2 linked regions of the Cricetulus griseus genome follow. The protein of the gene in region 1 purifies or fractionates together with the protein of each later gene. This does not show direct contact. Links are inferred from orthologs where the notes say so. Each region holds a gene or a part of one and is shown on either strand. Other genes may lie near its edges.

Evidence for each region.
Region 2: the proteins of Cbll1 (region 1) and Src purify together in Homo sapiens (affinity purification with western blotting; 3 studies listed by BioGRID and IntAct, with this or other methods). This does not show direct contact. The link is inferred for Cricetulus griseus from reciprocal best matches to the Homo sapiens genes CBLL1 and SRC.

The regions. Positions count from the first base shown.
Region 1 is NC_048598.1:169,002,965-169,013,183, reverse strand, and holds the start of Cbll1 (E3 ubiquitin-protein ligase Hakai), read left to right. Parts: upstream 1-3,830; 5' UTR 3,831-3,845; coding exon 3,846-3,888; intron 3,889-5,117; coding exon 5,118-5,282; intron 5,283-8,957; coding exon 8,958-9,058; intron 9,059-9,370; coding exon 9,371-9,454; intron 9,455-10,219. UniProt on the Homo sapiens protein: E3 ubiquitin-protein ligase that mediates ubiquitination of several tyrosine-phosphorylated Src substrates, including CDH1, CTTN and DOK1. Targets CDH1 for endocytosis and degradation.
Region 2 is NC_048599.1:22,080,002-22,089,618, reverse strand, and holds part of Src (proto-oncogene tyrosine-protein kinase Src), read left to right. Parts: intron 1-3,687; 5' UTR 3,688-3,864; intron 3,865-4,907; 5' UTR 4,908-4,915; coding exon 4,916-5,165; intron 5,166-6,397; coding exon 6,398-6,497; intron 6,498-9,579; coding exon 9,580-9,617. UniProt on the Homo sapiens protein: Non-receptor protein tyrosine kinase which is activated following engagement of many different classes of cellular receptors including immune response receptors, integrins and other adhesion receptors, receptor protein tyrosine kinases, G protein-coupled receptors as well as cytokine receptors.

The sequences.
Region 1 (10,219 bases):
TTTTGAAAAGACCACTATGATTTCGACAGTGTTAGTCACAGCCGTTACGTGCAACAACACAGGACACGATGCTACACATTCTTTATTTGGAATTGAGTACCGTGAAAACATTTTTAAAAAGAGGCCAAAACAATAATGTCCTACTGAGCTAGGCACTCTGGCACTGAAAGCGTGAACGACCCAAGGTAACGATGTCGTCACCAAGGGACTACCGTTAGAGCCCAAGTCCCTTGACTCCGGGACTGATGTTTTCCACTAATTGTGCTCCTCTCTCTCTATCTGAGAGCTGCAAGTGCAAAGGGCTGGAGAAGGCAGGAGACTTCTATGAGCCAAATCTGCCAGGTGGGGATGCTCTCAACCCTGAAGGTCCTCGGCAACCGCCCGTGACACTTTCTTTTGTTTTGGCGGAGCAAGATGAAAACTGCAACCACAGACCCCAGGGACCAAGAACTGGAACTAGGTACCGCTTGCTATGGTAACTCTCTCTTCCTCGGCCGGGGCCAGCCGGCCTGCCCTCTCTCACTTCTCCCTTCCGCCAGGCCCCGGCGCATCCCCACTCCCCATCCCTCGGTCCTCCCTTCCTTCCTTCACCCGGTCCGCACTGCACACCCAAGTTCCGTGTCCCCGCTCCCTCCAGTCTTAGCTCGGGTTCGCGGCACTGCACGCGCGCTCCAGCTGAGACTTCGGTCGGAGCCAGGGAAAGCGCGGGTGCCGAGTGGGTCCTGGGGCTCCTCAGGACAAAGCACGACTTAGACAATGAGGACCGTGCCTCCTCCCCGGAGGAGCGCCGCCGGCTCCGCTCCCCTCGGGCGCCTACGGAGCGCGCGCGTGTTTACACTTTCCTACCCCCGGCGGCGGATCCGGGGGGCATTCCAAACCGTTACTCCGCCCGCCGGGGTGGGACCAGCCCAACGGCTGAGCCTGCGCTCTGGGCCGGCCGGCATCGGCGGACTACAAATCCCAGGAGGCCTCGCGCCTCAGGGGCGGGCAGCGGCTGACCTCCCCTCCGCTCTTCCCTCTACTTCCTATTGCCGTTCAACGGCAATAGGTGTCCCTCATACAGCCGAAGGCTGCCTCCTCCGGGGAGCCCTCGTGTCCCCGCTCTTTCTGCCTCAGCTCTGGCTATGCCTGACTCCCTCGTAAGAGTCGGGTGGCGGCGGCAAGGGAAGGAAGCCCCAGCAAGCGACCCGAGAGCACTTCCGTCTCTGGGCTCCGGAAGGTAGAGCGCACGCGCTTGCTGCGACTGCGGAGCGACTCACTTCCGCTCCCACTGTGCCCTGCGAGCCGAATCATGGATCACACTGGTAAGGAGGCGGAGGCAGCGGGGGTCCTGGTTTCGGGCCCCCTTGGCTCGTGTGGGACTGCTCGCCCGGGGGGCATAGGGGCTCCCCTTCCCTCGCGGCGCCGGGCCGTGGCGGGGAGGACGCGAGCTCGCAGGCCCGGTGCGGGCTGGGCCTGCTGCCCCGGCCTACCCTTGGGAGCCGTGCCTCGGTCCCCGAGACCGGCTGCCCCGCCGCGGTGCCGCCGAGCCCGCTCTCCCGACACTGCGCCGCGCAGGCTCGCCGCGAACGGGAGAGGGCCAGTTTGTTTGTTGTTTGTTTGTTTGTTTTCCCCCATCCCATTCCGGTTGCGCTGCCCTTATAGCCGGCTGGACTTCACTTAGGGAATTGTAGAAGCGCCCGGACGCCGGGCGAGAGGGGGTTGGAGACTTCCTGCTGCCTCCCGACTTCGGGGAGCTGCTGCTCTGCTGTGCTCCTCCCTGTGGTGGTTGTCTCTGGGTTTTCACGGACTAGAGGTTAGAGAATCGGATGTAGGTTTCGAAGTGATCAGCGGAGCATCTTTTCTAAACCCAAAGCATGCCCCACCCTTCGGCCGTGGTCCATTTGCATCTTTGGGGGACATATACAAAAAAATAATTAAGATCAAGACATTTCCATCGCGTATTCCAAGTAATAGTGGCTTCAGACTTTGTTTCTGCTAGCTTCGTCTTCTTTCTTAGTTATTGAATGAGTGCATTTGGCTTTGAGTGTTTCAGACATACAGACAAGCAGGAAGAAAAGGCCTTTTCTTTAAGAATTGATGGAGATGCCCTCAGTCTTCAAATAACTACTTAATTATATAATTGCTTGCAGATACTTGTAGGCTTGGAGATAGAATGATGGGCTGGTAAACAATAGGACTGTGTCCTTGCCTTCGAGTATACATACATTCTATCAAAAGCGACAGGGAGGTTGGTTTCTTTTTAAAAAAACCGCTTACAGAGTGTGGTGAGTACTTCAAGAAAACAGGTGCTTACGGAGTAGAAATTTCAGACAGTGCCAGGGAAAAGTGTTTCTGGAATGATAAGACGTGGAGAAAGGCAGATGTCTGCGGTCTAGTTAGCAAGAGGAAGAGCCCAAGTTGAGATGAGAAAGAACACGTTACCTCGTTCAGGAATTTGAGAATCATGGTAAAGGGTTTAATTTTAAGTGGCTACAAAGAAATTGCACAAAACTAGGAGTATAATAATTTTAAAAGTAATCCCAGCTCCTCTATGGAGAATGGTGTAGGAGAGGAAGAACAGGAATCACCAGAGGGAGGCTCACTTTAGTCAAAGTGTAGCTCAGTGATAGAGCACTTACCTAACTAGCACAGGTCCTGAGTTTAATCCCCAGCAATGCTGTCGGGGGGAGGGGGGGGAGTTGGGGCTGTGCACAGACAATGGGCAGTTGCAATAAATATTTTGATCGAGAATCCAACAACCACTAGTGGATTGGTTTGTGTGGAAGTATGTGAGAGAAATGAGAAAAAACTGAGTTTCTCATTAGAGTGTCTTTTAAAAATTCCAGTTTCTAAGTTATTAATTAAAGGTTGCCCCCAGAGAGATACAAATCATTCTAACATGAAAATAATCACTATAAGCTAGCTAGATTTTTTTAAAAGAGTTTCCAGCCAGCTATCCTTTCTGCTTAACATTGGCTTTTCTAGGTTTTAAATTACTTATTAGGCAGTCGCCTTAATGTTTCAGTGTTAATTGCTGTACATTTTGAGGGAAAAAAATCAAACTAAGTGGAATGACTCAAACTTTCACAAGACTCAAATACAAATTTGAAAACTATTTGAATCACAGAGCCTTTGGCAAATCAAGAAAATGCCAGTTAGCTAGTTAATTGACATTTCCTGACTGGATAGGCTTCTCAGAGTAATGATTTTAATGTCAAAGGGTCAAGAGGTCTTGTAAATGGAAGCATTGAAATAGAATTTTGCCAGAAATAAACAATTCCAGAAATCCCTCCCTCCCTCCCTCCCTCTTTTTTTTTTTTTTTTTGAGATAGGCTTTCTCTGTGTAGCCCTGGCTATCCTGGAAGTCACTCTGTAGAGACTGCTGTTTTTTTTAAAGCTACTGTTTGCCTCACAGACTTCAAGTGACAGCATTCGGGGCTGGAGAGATGGCTCAGGAGTTAAGAGCACTGGCTGTACTTCCAGAAGACCTGGGTTCAGGTCCCAGCACCCAGATGGTAGCCTCAAGTTTCAAGGGGATCTGACACCTTCACGCAGACATACATGCAGGCAAAACACAAATGCACATGAAATAAAAATAAAATTATTAGAAAAGAAACATTGGGCTCTTAAAAGGGCTAGGCTGGCTGTTCAAATAATGGAGAGCTCAGTTGTGTGAGGTAGTTGAAAAGTGCAGATAAAGCGTGCTATTTTCATTAACAAAGGTAATACCACTAAGAATCTTTTAATACCCGAAGGGCAACAGCTTCGTTTTCATGCAAGGGAAAAAGATCATCTGTCATATGTCTATAGCTGGTAGGTACTTCTGTATGGATGAGTTAATACAGTGAAGACTGCTGAAATACATGAACAGACATAAAAAGATCATCTGTCATATGTCTATGGCTGGTGGGTACTTCTGTATGGATGAGCTAATGCAGTGAAGACTGCTGAAATACATGAACAGACATTCTATCAATTTTAGTGCAGTCTTGAAGGTTGATCAAAATGTGTTTGTTTTGTTCAAGATTGTATCTATTCATGTAAAATCCCCTTTTCATGAAAAATTTTAAGAGGAGTTTGCTGTTACACTAGAAAGTAGACAGATGTTTAATTATTGAGACCCATTTTGAATTACATTTGGCTTTAATGGATGTAATGTGGACATTTGGGCTTTAAGTCTTGATTGTAATTCTTGCAGGAACTCTGATCAGTAATTTGTGTTTGAAATGTTACAATTTTAAAGTTACATTTGTATTTCCTATTTTTAAGCACTTAAGGTAAAATTGAGTATTTGTTTTGTTTTGTTTTTTGTTTTTTTGAGACAGGGTTTCTCTGTGGCTTTGGAGGCTGTCCTAGAACTAGCTCTTGTAGACCAGGCTGGTCTCGAACTCACAGAGATCCTCCTGCCTCTGCCTCTCGAGTGCTGGAATTAAAGGCATGTGCCACCAACGCCGGGCTGAGTATTTTGTGTTACATATCTTTATGTACTTGGAAACAAGTACATCCATCAGATTGAGTGTTGGATTTCTAATTTTGTTTGTCTTTATGTAAATTTACTAAGTTTACTGGGTGGATACTTTGCAGGCTTAATAATTAGATACATATTTAGAGGCAATTTTGTTTTTTCTCCTTTATATTTAAGAATCTATTACAATATGTATCAGGTTTTTTTCATTTTTATTTTATTTTTTAATAATTTTATGTACATTGATATGAGGGTGTTAGATTCCCTAAAACTGGAGTTATAGGCAGTTATTAGCTGCCAATCCCTGTCCTCTGGAAGAGTGGCTGGTATTTTTAATTGCTGAGCCATCTCTCCAGTTCCTTCTTGTACTTTAAAAATGTTTATGTTTCTGTAAATTACTATGGGAATTTTTAGTGTTCAAAGTTCTAGAAAGAGATAATACTTCTGTAACTTGTCAGCTTCTGAAAGGGTTCCATGTTCAAAGGGTAACCAAAAGCATTGTTTTAAAGGGTAACTCCAAATGAGGAATAGTAGGTCAGTCTGGTATTTAAAATCACAACCAAGATCTTTAATTTATTGTTTGATGTTGATTTTATCTTTATATTTGTAGAACAATTTTCAAAAAGAAAAGTGAAAGAAATTACAATTTCTTCTGTTCCATTCATTATAGACAATGAGTTACAAGGCACTAATAGTTCTGGATCCTTGGGTGGTCTTGATGTTCGAAGAAGAATTCCCATAAAACTCATCTCCAAACAAGCCAACAAAGTTAAACCTGCACCTCGAACTCAAAGGACTATTAGGATGCCTGCAAAGGTCCCACCAGGTGATGAAGGTAACAGTTGTATTGTTTTATCTGAGTGCACCAGTTAATCTACTTGATTTTATTTACTTAAACCTATTTAAAAAATTTTTAACCTATTTTCTAACCGTTTTTTCTCCCTTTGTAAGCCCCCTTATGATCTTTTCAAAGAATCTAATCAATATTGCAGAGAGCATTATATTAAAAGTAAAATTTGTTTTCACAATCCTTTCCAAAGCTAGTATCTGTTAAGATGGTGATGGGTGATGATGGCACACACCTTTAAACCCAGCACTTGGGAGGCAGAGGCAGGTGGATCTCTGAGTTTGAGGTCAGCCTGGTCTACAGAACTAGTTCCAAGGCTACACAGAAACTTTGTCTAGAAAAAAACAAAAACATTAGGGTGGGGTGAAGGGGTTATTTAGCCACTTATGGTGACCCATGCCAGAAATGCCAGTACTTAGAAAGCTGAGGCAGGAGGATTGCTCAGTTGTAGTTTGATGCCAGACCCTGTTGCAAACAAAGGTGTTTTAACTTCTTTCTGCCTATTTGTTTCACTGTAACTTGACTTGAGGGATGGCAAGGTTAGTGGGTGAGGGCAATTGGCACATAACCCTGTTGACTTATGTCAATCCCTAGAACTAATGTAAAAGAGGAAGACGAGAACTGATGTCCAGAAGTTGTTTTTAAAGACCTGATTGTACATTTTAGAATTTATCAGTTCCTGCTCAGTTACTCTTCAGAAAGGGTTTGTTAGTTTACCCTCACACACACCGTTATTTCTTACTATTAAACTTTTTTTTTTTTTTTTTTGAGACAGGGTCTCCATCCTTGACCTTGAGTAGTCTTGCTGCCACAGCCTTCTGAGTGCTGTGATAATAGGCAGGGGCCACTGTGCCCATGACAGAAACTGAAGTGGATGGGTGCCATTTCTTGCCTCAGTTCCATCATCTTACTTTTGATTGGTGCCCATCTCTTAGCTTTTGAGTTCTTTGTGAAAGTGGCAGTGTTAAATGTCTGTGTAGTTCATTTATCTTTTGAATTTAATATGGATAAAACATTACTGTAAAGAATTTGAACATTCTAGGTAGTCTGTTAACTAGAGTTTGCTGTTTCACTTTCCTGTCTTTCCATTTAATTAGAAGTCAGCAAAGTGGCCTACATGTCAGATTTGGTTCCTTTAAAAAAGTAAAGTTCCCATTCATTTGGTTATTGCCCATGGCTGCCTTCCCACTACCATGGCAGAGTGGAATAGATTGATGTGACGTAGAAAGCCTAAAATTTGCACTGTGTGACCATTTATAGCAACAGTTTATCCCATGTTTTAGAGCATTTATGGAGATATATATATATATATATCTCCATATCTTTTTAAAAGTGAGGTCTTGCTTTTTAAATTTTTACTCAAACAGTTCACCAGCTCCCCAAATACTGGGTAATCTGTCTTTTCCTTCCAGAATGGAATCTTGCTGTTAGCACATATTCAAGTTCTAGGAGGACTTGTCTTACTCCTAAGTTTTGTTCTTATGATCTGTTTCTCTTCAGAACCAAACTGCTTTCATTGTGTTTTATAACGTATTCTACTGTAAGCTTCCTCTCATATACTAAGGTAGTAGATTTGAAGTTAAATGTTGTAAATCACAGTAGTGAGTTTGGATGTGCTCAGTGATATAGTACATGCTCAGCATGCACAAAGGCTGGCTGAGAACAGCAGCGTAGGCAGATGCTGCACTATTGTAATCTAGGCTTCCCCACCCATGCTGACCTTTAGTCAATTATTTTTTGACTGCACATAATATACTTTGTATAATCAAAGTGCAAAAAAGCCAAGTTCCCCCTTCTGTACTTCTTCCTGTAGGCAGAATTTTTTGTTGGGACTGCGATTCCCAAATAACCACTGCAAGACTTCTTATTAATTATAAAAGCTAGACCAGTAGCCCAGGTTTATTACTGACCTGCTCTTACTACTTAAATTAAGTCATTTCTTTTGACCTGTGTGTTGTCCTAAGGCTGTGGCTTTTACCTCTCTTGCATGTCCTGCTTCCAGCAACTCCTCTGACTCTACCCTTCTTCCCAGCATTCTCTCTGCCATGAAAAATCCTGCCTAGCCATTGGCTAATCAGCTTTATATTAACAATGAGCACAACACATATTTACCATATGTACGAAGATTGTTCTACAGCATTTTCCTCTAGGCATTTCACCCACATTCCAAAGCCATACAGCCTCTTTTATAGGGGACCTACTATTGCTCTTATAAGAGAGCAAACTGATCTGAAAGATAGTTTTTGAATTTAAAAAATATTTTCTTATTCTAAAATTGATCAAAATGGAGTTTTGGGTGTAAGTATGATAACTGTAAATACCTGCTTAATGATAAGAGAACAGCTTGTGCCACTCCAAAAAGTGGTCATGTGTGCCATGTTTCCCTAGACCACTGACCTCATTAATTTTCTGGGTTTGGCATGCTGATTTTCTTTAGCTTGAATTTTAATGACCACTGTTTTTATGAAGCTTAAATGGGTCATATAAGAGCTTAGGGCACTCGTCACAAGAAAGCCATGGCTTTGAACTATATAGTTTTGTTGGGATTAGTTAAAAAGTATAGTGTAGCCGGGTACATGCCTTTAATCCCAGCACTTGAAAAACAACAAAAACTGGCTTGACTTTCTGTGTGTGTGTGTGTGTGTGTGTGCACACATTAGTAGTTGTGCACAAAGTATGTGCTTTGGCCACTCTGTTTACCAGCTCTAAGGCCAAGGAAACCTTGATTGATACCTTAGATTTATTTATTTATTTATTTATTTATTTATTTATTTATTTATTTATTTATTTATGAGACAGGGTTTCTCTGTGTAGCCATAGTTGGCCTGGAACTTGCTCTGTAGATCAGGGTGGCCTTGAACTCAGAGATGCACCTGCCTCTTCCTCCGAAGTGCTGAGATTAAAGGTGTGTGCCACCATTGCCCAGCGGTATTTTTGTCTTCTTAGCTTTACTTGGGTAATTGGAATCTACCTGGACTTCCCATCAGACTGTTCATGGTTTGTGTTGTTTTGCTTGAGATTAGAGGCTTGCTGTCAACTTTTCAATTAGACTAGAAATATTCCGCCCATTTGATCTTCATAGTGTCCTGTTACATGATATTTATATATGCTGTAAATGACCAGATACTGGTAAGTATTTTGCCTCTTGCAGTCTGGGTTGTTGACTAGGGAGAGGCTTTAGCTAAAAGGATCAAGTGTATTCTTTTCATCTGTTATTTCTGAAACTATTCCCTCTTTGAGGGGCAGTCATAAAAAGCCTGTAGAATTTATTTAATCCTTTGGCAATCAGATCAGTCTCTTGTGGCTTAATACCACTTTTGTAGGTGCTTTAGAATAGATGATGATAGTACTTTAAAATTTGGGCAATAAACTTAATGGCAAGGTTTTATAATAGAGACGTGTGTGGAGTTGATGAGAGCATTGAGTAAGACGCTTATATGGTGGTTTCAATATACACTGCACATCATCCTCTGTAAAGTCCTACAGATGGACTAGATGATCACCAGGCTCAGTTGGCATTGTAAACTAGTTTTGATTTCATGTTCTTAGATCTTTGAAAGTCATCAGAAACATTTTTCGGTAAATAGGTCTATTTTGTCATGTAAATATTACTTTAACAATGAAATTTGAAGTTGCAAAGTGTAATATAACTTTTTTTCTCAGAAGGATTTGATTATAATGAAGAACAACGGTATGACTGTAAAGGAGGCGAACTCTTTGGAAATCAGCGAAGATTTCCAGGACATCTTTTTTGGGATTTTAAGGTATAACTAAAAATAAAAAAATAAGTATTAAGTACTGATATAAATTTTTAGTATGTCTATAACTTAGCACACACATAAGTTCACTTGCTTGTTTCTATATCTTCCAAAATAATTTGAGGTAATTTTTCAATAAACCAAGTAAAATCAACTACCACTATTTAAGGAGAATAAGCAAACGGAGTTATACTAAGCAGCTTTTATTTCTGTTTGTAGTAACAACTGTTATAGAATTCCAACCATTTCACTGTGTGAATTGATAAGTACAATTTTCAGAATTGCTTAAAGAGAAAATTTTAATTATCATTTTAACAGATAAACATCTTAGGTGAAAAGGATGATACTCCAGTTCATTTCTGTGACAAATGTGGATTGCCTATTAAAGTCTATGGGAGAATGGTAAGTACAGAGAAAGTGTAGTTTTGTAGATGATCCACACCTCTCTGTAGAAGTCGGATTCTGAAATAGAGCTTACTTTTTTTTTTCTTTTTGGTTTTTTCGAGACAGGGTTTCTCTGTGTAGCTTTAGAGCCTATCCTGGCACTCGCTCTGGAGACCAGACTGGCCTCGAACTCACAGAGATCCGCCTGCCTCTGCCTCCCGAGTGCTGGGATTAAAGGTGTGCGCCACCAACACCCGGCAAGCTTATTATTTTGTATAACTAATTTTAAAACATAGTATGCACAAAGAAGCTAAGGAAAGTTTTATAATACTATGAATTTAACATACTTATTCTTTACTCTTTTGGAATAGTTTCAGGAGAAACACAGTAAGATAAAGCACATTTAGTGTTCTTTTCAACATTGATGGGTTCACATACCTATCTGAGAATAGAAGCAGGTGCCAGGCAATCTGGTTATCCTAGTACTCTGAAGGTTGAGGCAGAGGGATCATTAGATCAAGGCCTGCCTCAGGTACATCAGAGCTTAAGGCCAACCTGAAGTACACCTGAAATCCTGTCTCCAAAAATGAAAAGCAAAGCATTAGCAGATGTACATAGATTTATTGGGAAAAGAGCCAGAGTTTTCAAAACATTTTCAAAAACTTGTGCACACCTTTAATTTGAGCACTCAGGAGGCAGAGGCAAGCAGATCTCTGAGTTTGAGGCTGGCCTGGTTTCCAGAGTGAGATCCAGGACAGTCAGGGCTACGCAGAGGAACCCTGC
Region 2 (9,617 bases), on another chromosome or scaffold:
AGGGTGTAGCTTTGTGAGGCTGTGCTCAGTCAAATGTTTGTAGAGCAGCTGGTAGCAACCTGTCTATCCTGGGTGCTTCGCTGAAAGGGAGCCTGGCATCCAAGAAGCTTGGTGTCCATTGCTTCCTCATAGACAGCAATTCCCAAGTCCACTGGGCTGTTTACCATGCTTAGAGGCCAATCAATACAGGTCCTCTATGTGTTTCCGGTGCTTCTCGAATCCATTCCCAGAGGTCCTGTGCACACAAGTTCCACACTGCTGTCTGCATCAGCCTGCAGTGTTCTTTTCAGAAATCTCCACTCATGAGGAGCTGCAGAAAAGATTTTAGGAAGAGTTGGTATAAAGCAGAGTTGAATTTATTAAGGAAAGAATTGGGGGTGGGGCAGCTAGAGACAGGGCTCAGTGATCAAGAGCACTGCCTGCTCTTCCAGAGGTCCTGAGTTCAATTCCCATCACCCACATGGGCAGCTCACAACTGACTGTAATTCTAGTTCCAGGGCATCTAACATTCTCACACAGATATACATGCAGGCAAAATGCAAATGCACATGAAATAAAAATAAACAATTGTTTTTAAAAAAGAAGAAGGAAAGAGAAGTTAGCGCTGGGGAGGTAACTTGGCTGGTAGAGTGCTTGCCTGCATGCAAAGGCCCTGAGTTCCATCTCCATCACTGATAAACAGGGTTTGGTGGGTTAGCAGGTTATCCTCAGCTACTTAGCAAGTTCAAGGTCAGCCTGGGCTATGTGAGACCCTGTCTGGAAAAGATAAGGTGAAGAAGCAACCAAGGAAGCCGTCCTCTTGGCAGCATCTGGCTTTCTACATGTGCTGGTGAGTGCATCCCCCACAGGTACACAGAAGCATGTACACCTCTTGTGTGCACACACACAGATGCAATTTAAATATGGGGTTTAACAGAAAGAGAAACGCATATGAAAAGGACAGGACACACAGGTGTTGGTGGGGCTTCTGAAGGGCTGCCAGTCTCTTAGCTCTAGCTGTGAGTAAAATTTTGGAGGCTTTGGAATTGTGTTGCTCAAGGAGTTTTTAAGACTTGTCTCCTTGTCTTCTCTTTCTTTCCCTGCCCCTACTCTTTTTCTGAGGTAAGGTCTTATTATGTAGCCCTGGTTGGCCTTGAAGTCACTGTGCAGAGTAGGCTGGCTTTGAACTGACAGATCTGCCTGTCTCTGCCTCCTGAGTGCTGGGATTACAGGTGTGCGTCACCACACCCAGTCCCACCCCCCCTTTTTCAAAAAAAATGATTTATTATGTATACAGCATTCTATCTGCATGTATGCTTGCAGGCCAGAAGATGGCACCAGATCTCATTATAGATAGTTGTGAGCCCCAGATCTCATTACAGATGGCTGTGAGCCACCATGAGGTTGCTGGGAATTGAACTCAGGACCTCTGCGATAGCAGCCAGTGCTATTAACCTCTGAGCCATCTCTCCAGCCTCCAGTCCCCCTTTTAAAAAGAAAAGATTTATTATTTGTGTGTGGTGTGTGTGTGTGTGTGTGTGTGTGTGTGTGTGTGTGTGTGTGTGTGTGTGCCTTTGTGCTAGGTGGCTGGAAGAGGGCATTGGATCCCTCCATCCCGGACTTTCAGGCGTTTGCCCGATGCCAGGCTTGTCATGGGTGCTGGGACCTGAACCTGGGTTCATAACCACTGAGCCATCTTTCTAGCCCCATTTCCATCCCAGGTGAGATTGTAGGGTGGCTCTGTGCGTCTTGGGGAGAATTAAAGTGTGATGGTGAAACCTTGGGCCACACAGATGGAACAAGGAGCCTTTGACTGTGAATGGGGTTTGGAGATTGCTAGAAAAATGGCAGGTTTGGGGGCTGGAAAGATGGTTCAGCAGTTAAGAGCATGGCTGCTCTTCCAGAGAACCAAGGTTCAATTCCTAGCACCCACATGGCAACTCACACCCATCTGTACCTCCAGTTCCAGAGGACTTGACACCCTCACAAGACATATATCCAGGCAAAACATCAATGCACATAAAAGAAAAAAATGGCAGGTTTATCTGGAAACAGAGAAAGATCATACTGGAAGGCCCCTCGATCTTGGACCTTAACCATGGTTGATTGCTAGTTTAGTCTTTATTTATTATTGTGTGTATGTATGAGTGTGGGCACACGCAAGCCACAGCAAGCATGTTGAGGTCAGAAGACCCCTTTCCAGGGTCCCTCCTCACTGTGGTTCTGTGCCTGGAGTTCTGGCTGTCAGGCTCCACAGCAGCATTTCCTGGCTGAGCCATCTCTCTGGCCCTACTTGAGTTCTTATTGGAAATACCCCTACAAGGAGGGGCAGTTACCTACACCGGCAGCCTCATTGCAAGCTTCACTTGTGCTGGAGTTATGGGCTCTTGGACAGAGAGGCTTGAACAGCTTGTGTGAGGTGCTCTTTCCTTTCCCACAATCCCTTGATTTCCCGTCTTAGACTCAGAGGGTGCTGAGTGTCACCTGTCTTGCTACAACCCACTCCTGGGCTGGCTCCCAACCCTGCTGCCTCTTCAGATACCTGGTGTCTGTATAACCAGCATTAACCACAGACAGATCCTATCCCCCACACCAGCCAGCCTTGCATCCGGTGGCCCAGGTCTCCTTGGATTTGCCCACTTTACTTTCTGTATACTGGGAGGTATGTGTGTCCATTGGTTAGTGTAAGGTCTCAAGTGAAGGACCTATACCCATGTTCCATCTCCTCAAAAGATGGGGCATGCATCTTCCGGGGGCTGGTTCTCCTCCTCTCTTTAGGCACATCTGCCAAGAGACATTCTTGATCCCCTCCAATGACAGGGGGCCTACTATGCACTGTTATGCTCACTCCAAAGAAAGCTCTTACACTCAGACAATTCTTTGTATATAGTAAATAGATTTTATTTTAAAATCTTTTATATTTTGTATTGTCTCTTAAAGTACTTCTGGAACCGTTAGCCAAGGATCTGATGTCCAGGAACTGTACAACTTCCCCGGGGGTTGAGGGGACCAACTGGGCTGGCTTCTAGCAAGCCAGGCCATAGGGAAACCCATTGGTTAGCCGACCCCTCATGACCTGGAGAGAATGAGTTGCCATGGAAACAGGTGTTTCCTTACTGTCCACTGCTGGCCTGGCCCTTGGGAGTCTGGTGATTGCTTGGGTTCCTGGGCAAGCCTAGCCCCACATTCTCTGAGTCTGGGTGTCAGCCTTAGCCACACCCCAGCGTACATCTCCACATATCTGAGAGTAAAGGGCTGGCTGCTATACCCAGGTCCCCATGCATAGGAGCCACAGAGCTGGGCTTAGTGCTGCGGACAGCTGTTCTTTAAGGACACCTGGCTTGATGCTGAGGCCTTCTGCATCCCAGTGGTTCCACCCCCACTCATCCCCACCCACCCCCTGTTGGCACATCCAGAACACATGCCAGTGACCTAGTGTGCTAAGTGACTGCTGCTATGGTCCCATTTGGCCCTGCCATAGCTCTATTACATAAGGGTAAGAAATGGCATAGGGGTCATACTGGTGTAGACTAGACAGCTGAGACCAGAACTGGGGAGTTGGCTTCCGAGCCTTCCAGACCACCGTGCCAGCTCCCTTTCTCTCATTCCCAGGATCTTTGGAAAATCCAAAGGGCATTTTGGCAAGGGGAGGCTTCTGCTGGCCCTCGAGTGAAAGCTCTAATGGGTTCCATGTTCACACCCCCACAGAGGCTCTGCAGATGCGGATGTCGAGGCCCAGAGAAGGGGAGCAACTCGCCTAGGGACACCCAGTGGGAGAGGTGGAGCAGGGTCTCTAGGCTAAGACCCCGGACGCCACAGCTGGTGTTTTTGCCCAGTCCCCAGGCTGCTCCCCAGATCCACTGGGGTAGCCCTGCTGCCCACCAGGTGAGTGGAGACGAGAGAGAGAGGAGCCCCCAGCCCAGCTTCCTGGGTTGGGCACGGATGTGGAGGAGCATAGCAGGGCATTGGATGCCCTGGAGCCTTCAGCGTGGTTCCCTCTGTGTATTCTAGTCCCAGGACCTCCCAAACTTTGGGCTTCAACTTTGAACTCAGATTTCTCTCACGGCGCATCATTCTTTTGGCTGTTCATTAAGCACCTACTGTGTACCTCACTCAGTGCACTCCAGTGAACAGTTGTAGTGATTAAAAGAAGAGGGGGTTGTCTGTAACCAAGGGGGTACAGTAGTCAGGGGGCTCATGAAAGGATTTGGGGGGCCCTCCTAAAGGAGGAGACTTGAAACATTTGTATTGGACTTTATTTTTTTTTTTATTCTGTGTGCTTATGGGGAGGTGTGTGTGTGAGCCATGGCATGTGTGAGGGTCAGAAATCAGAGGACAACTCGCAGGACCATTCCTCCCACCTCTCCACCATGTGGGTCCTGGGAATTGAACTGAGGTTAGCAGGGTTTGCGGCAGGTGCCCTTACCTGATGAGCCATCTCTCCAACCCAGAAAGTGACTTTCGAGCTGAGAGCTGAAGGGTACTGATTTTCCCAGTGAAGCTGTCAGCGAGCAGTGTTTGCAGAGGTCCGGTGGCTGGAGAACAGGCCCGGCGGGCATCCCTTCTTCAAGCCACATACCGTACTCCTGCCGCTATCTTCATATTTAGCCCTCCGCCCCCCCCACACACATACCACCATGTTAAACAACTGCTCAAACTTAAGTTTACCCCTCCTGTGTGCTTGGAACCCTGATATGATTCAGTGCCCCTGCGCACAAAGGACTGAAACTGACTTTGGGTAGCTGTGGTCGGGGCTTTGGACTGGTGTAGCTGGGTCCTAAAGTGCCAACAACACGCCCATTTTACAAGTGAAGGAACGGTGAGGCCAGCTCTCCCAGGCTGACTCTTTCCCTAGCTGCTGAGTGGGTGGGGTGCCTTGTCTGCTCTCAGAGGCTCTCCTTTACCTCGTGGTCTTCTGTCGCCCCCAGCCAGGATCATGGGCAGCAACAAGAGCAAGCCCAAAGATGCCAGCCAGAGGCGCCGCAGCCTGGAGCCCGCCGAGAACGTGCACGGGGCCGGGGGAGCCTTCCCGGCTTCGCAGACACCTAGCAAGCCCGCCTCCGCCGACGGCCACCGAGGGCCCAGCGCCGCCTTCGTGGCCACCACGGCCGCTGAGTCCAAGCTCTTCGGAGGCTTCAACTCTTCGGACACGGTCACCTCCCCGCAGAGGGCCGGGCCTCTGGCAGGTCGGCTCTCCGCTTTGCTGGGTGTCCCTGGGCTGAGGTGCACCCTCTCTGGGCTCTGGGTATTTGGTTTACCAGGACCTGAGAGTGGGGAAGGACTCGTAAACTAGACAGAGGGGTTCCTGCCGCTTTGGGGCCTTCTGGGTTCAGAGCATAATGGGGTCCGAAGGAGAGGGCTGTAGGGGACCCTGAGGTCCAGAGGGAAGGACTGCCCTGGACCGCCTAGCTGCTGCCTCCCGTCCAGCCTTTGTTCCCGATTCCGCTGTGCGGTGGCCCGAGTGCGCCCCTGCGCCCTCTGTTGGCTCTGCGAGGTGCGGCAGCCCCGACACCGAGGGGCTGAGCCGGGTGACTCAAGCTCCTGCCGGATGAGTGCACGGCTACACACCCACTCGTGCAAATCCTACACTCAGACCCAGCCACACGCACAGCTGCACACCTACACAGGCACCTCTCACGACCAGACCTATGTTATGTGCCCACACTGGGCATGTGCCCACACTGAGTGGAGACACCATGGAAATGCTCACAGTGTTCACTCCGCTCCTGGAGGCACAAATAGGCTAGGCAACCCCAACGTAGCACACACAGATACAGGTGTCAGGCGTGCATACAGCCTTGCACCCTCAGATGCACCCCCAATGCAGCACACACAGACACAGGCGTGCATACGCCTTGCACCCTCAGATGCACCCGCAATGCAGCACACACAGACACAGGCGTGCATACAGCCTTGCACCCTCAGATGCGGTTGTGCACCTGCAGTCATTGCTTGCACACGGGATGCAGACAGGGGCTGGGTGCCCAGCTCCACAGCCCACCACAGGCGACCCTTGGACAGACTGTCTGCTTCTGCCAGTCTCAGCCACACATCCATTGGTTCATTTGAGAAGAATTGTGGAGCCTTAGGCAACGGAGGGTGGGCTGCCGGTGAGGAGAGACCGAGGGGAAGGGCCCTGCAGCATGGCCCAGATACCCAGAGCTTCCAGGTACATACACAGAGAGGCAGAGTCACCACTGTGTGCTGGGGTCTGAACAGAACAAGGGTGCGTGTTCTCTGGGGCTTCTGCTTGTGTCAGCTAGACATGCCAGACAGGGAGCACTTAGCCTATCTGCAGCCCCGCAGGGAGGCACAGGCCCCTAGCTCCTTCACAGGGACTCAGTGTGCAGTCTCTCGCCACCCCTCCACACCCACCCCTGCCTCCAAGGTTCTTGACATCTCCAATCCCTCTCTGCAGGTGGGGTGACCACCTTTGTGGCCCTCTATGACTATGAGTCAAGGACAGAGACTGACCTGTCCTTCAAGAAAGGAGAGCGGCTACAGATTGTCAACAACACGTGAGTGGCACTGCCAGAATGCACTGGGGGCGTGGGCCTGTCTATACCCAGAGCTGCCGGCAGAGGGCGGTGAAGAGTCCGCAGGGCCGCTTCTGCCCTTGGTGGGTGGGGGCCCTCCCTAGACCCCTACCGCTGTCCTCCCTTTTCCTGGGCCCTGCCTTCGCACCTCAGCCTCTCCCTCTCTCTGCTTCTCTCTCGCTGGCCCTTAGGAGGAAGGTGGATGTCAGGTGTGTACCGAGGCCAGGTGGAGGGGGATGCTTCGCTGAGGCTGGGGGCTGCTGTCTGCATGTGCTTTCCCCACTGCCCTGCTCGTGGTCTCCAGCTCCCTCCCCATCCCTGTCCCCCCTCCATCTTCTCCCCATACCTTCCTGTTAGCTCACCACCTCCCTCTTCTGGTTTGTGATTCCACATTGAGTGCCAGCTACATGCATTCTGCAGGCCAGGGGGGGAGGCAGTGTGGTAGGGAGTGGGCTGCCCCAGGCCAGGCCAATAGTGGATAGAGGTAGGCTGGGGTCCCCAAAAGATGGCCATGAGGAGGGGCTGCCCATTCAAGGAAAGACAGTGGGCTACTGCAGGTAAGAGTGGCAGGCACATCCCGAGGTGGGGGCACTGCTGGTTGGAGGTTTGTGTTGGGCATTGGGGGCCTCTCCTTGGAGCAGGTAAGGCTTGGGGAGTTTGATTTGGGGTGTTCTGGCGGATACAGGAATCCATCACTGAGAGCCCCACAGGCCTGGCCAGGGAGGCAAGCTTTCCACACCCCTGGATATGTCTCGCTGCTCACGCCTCCTGATCCTTGTGCATGCGGCCTGAAATATTCCTTCTCCTCTATCCATCTGGTGAACTCCTATTCATCCCTCAAGATCCAGGGTGGAACTGCCCTCTGTGGGAGGCAAAAGCGAGCAGGTGCCATGTGCTGTGCCAGCCATCCTCACCCATACCTCCTTCATCTTGTTATCTCTGACACTGGAGGCAGCAGTAATGATGGAGGAGCTGGTCTATTTTACATATGAGGAAACTGAGGCTCGGAGTTGTGAAGGTCCTTGTCCAAGGCCACATGGCTACTGAGTAGCAAGCCCAGGATGGAACCTGGACATGTGCTCTCCCTTTCCTAGACTGTCTCCTGTCCCTTTGCTTCTGGGGATCTCAGCCTCTGGATACAGGTTGCTGCATTTGGCTGTCGTCATCAGAGGCCCCTTGATTTCAGCCTCTCTCTGCCATTGGCTACGCTGTGTGGCTTTGGGCAAATGATGGCTCTCTCTGTGCCTCTCTTTCCCCATCGGGGAGATGGATGCTTTGGATTGAAAGATTTTAGAGAGCTTTGGACCTGAGTCTGTAGCCGTGGGCAAACCCTCTTCTCCACACCTCATTTCACCAACTCTATAAAGAAAACACTGGTCTCTCTTGCCAGAGTGACTGCGTTTTCCTCCTGTCTCAAATGTACTTTCATCAGCTGGGGGTGGGAGTCTTGCCTTCTTCCTTGTAGGATAACCTTGGGGGTCAAATCAGACAGCAGGGTAGAGCTTTGGGGCACGGGTGCTGGGTGAGCTTGCAGCCTTTCTGTGTGTCTGTCCTGCACGGCTCCAGTCATACCCTCTTCACTGCACACAGCCATCTAGAAGCGTCAGGGTCTAATGCTCACCTGGCCTCCAGCAGGTCCTTCAAGCTCCCTAGCCCCACTTGCTCCAGCCTCAACCTATCCATCTGTAAATTTGGGTGAAGGTGTGCTCACCCTGTGTGTTCAAGCTGGGGCTGTGTGATGTGAGGCCAGGGCCTTCCCATCTCTGGGCCGGGGTGGGGTTGCTGTGCATCTTCTTAGAGTCAAGGTGGGGCCAAGGACAACACCAGCTGACTCATGTGACACCCGCCTTGCCAAACCCCCCAACCTTGCATGGAGATGAGCTGGAGAGCCATTGAGCCTCGTGGTACCCACAGGGAGACACCTTCCCTGGGCAAGACCTGGCTTGGCTGTGTGACCTTGCACAGAGTCCTTTGCTTCTCTGGCCTCAGTCTTCCATCTGTTCAGGGTGTGGGAAGGGCTGGACTCCACCTCCCAGGTCCTGTCCTCAGATCTCCCCTCAAACCTCCAGCCTTTGCCCTGTCTCCTTTGATTGCTTTGGATGTGAGGCCTCTGGCTGCCCCCAGCCCTGTTCCCAGTGTCCCCAGCACTGCCTGGCTCTCGCTCTCTCCCTTGACCCCCTACCACGGCCTCTCACCACCCCCATCTCTACCTCTTCTCTCCGGTTGGGCTCTCGCTTGCTCCTCCCTCCTCTGTCTCTGGACCCCTGCTCCAGCCAGACCTGGTTCACATTCAGATGGCTGCAAAGGTACTTCCTCCCCTCACCCTCCTGCCCAGGCCCAGAGCCCGAATGCTGCTGGGAGTCCTCCTCCTCCCTCCTCCCTCTTCCTCCTTCCTCCCCTTCTTCCTGGGGCAGTAAGTGTAGAGGGCTCTGGGCACTGGGGCTCTGCTGGCTCATTCCCCATGACTCGCTGTGTGACTTTGGGCATGGCCCAGTTCTCTCTGACTTCACTTTCCCCATGGATGGTGTAGGCTGCAGGAGGAGGCTTGTAGTTTCGGTTAAGGACTTTTAGGAGTGAGCTATGATTTGGGACAGGGGCAAGTATTGCTTGTTTGAAGGGATGGGCCTGGACTGTTGCTGGGCCCCAGAAGGGCCAACCTTGTCTCCATTGGGTGTCAGGGCTGTCAGGACTTGGGGAGACTTTGAAGGTCTAATCTGGCATCCATCTCATGTAAACCCTGCTTACCCTTCCTCCTCCCTCAGACAGGGAGCTCCCTCCCCCTCTCTCTCCCAAAGCAGCCCTTGGCACCTGCAGGCCGCTATGCACTTCTGGACAGTGCCTCTGAGCTGACAGGGCTCAGTTCTGCTGAGGTTTTGGGTGGCATCCTTCTGGGTCATTGTGACAGGGAGGTGTGAGGTCCAGACCAGCTCCTGCTGGCTTGCTGTGGACACAGGCTGGCCCAGCTCCCATTGCTGCAGAGCCTGGCCATGTACCTGGGAAGGTCAGGGTTGCCGACCCTGACCTCCCTGATGACATCATTCTTTGCTCCCTCCCATCTGCTCAGAGAGGGAGACTGGTGGCTGGCACACTCGCTGAGCACGG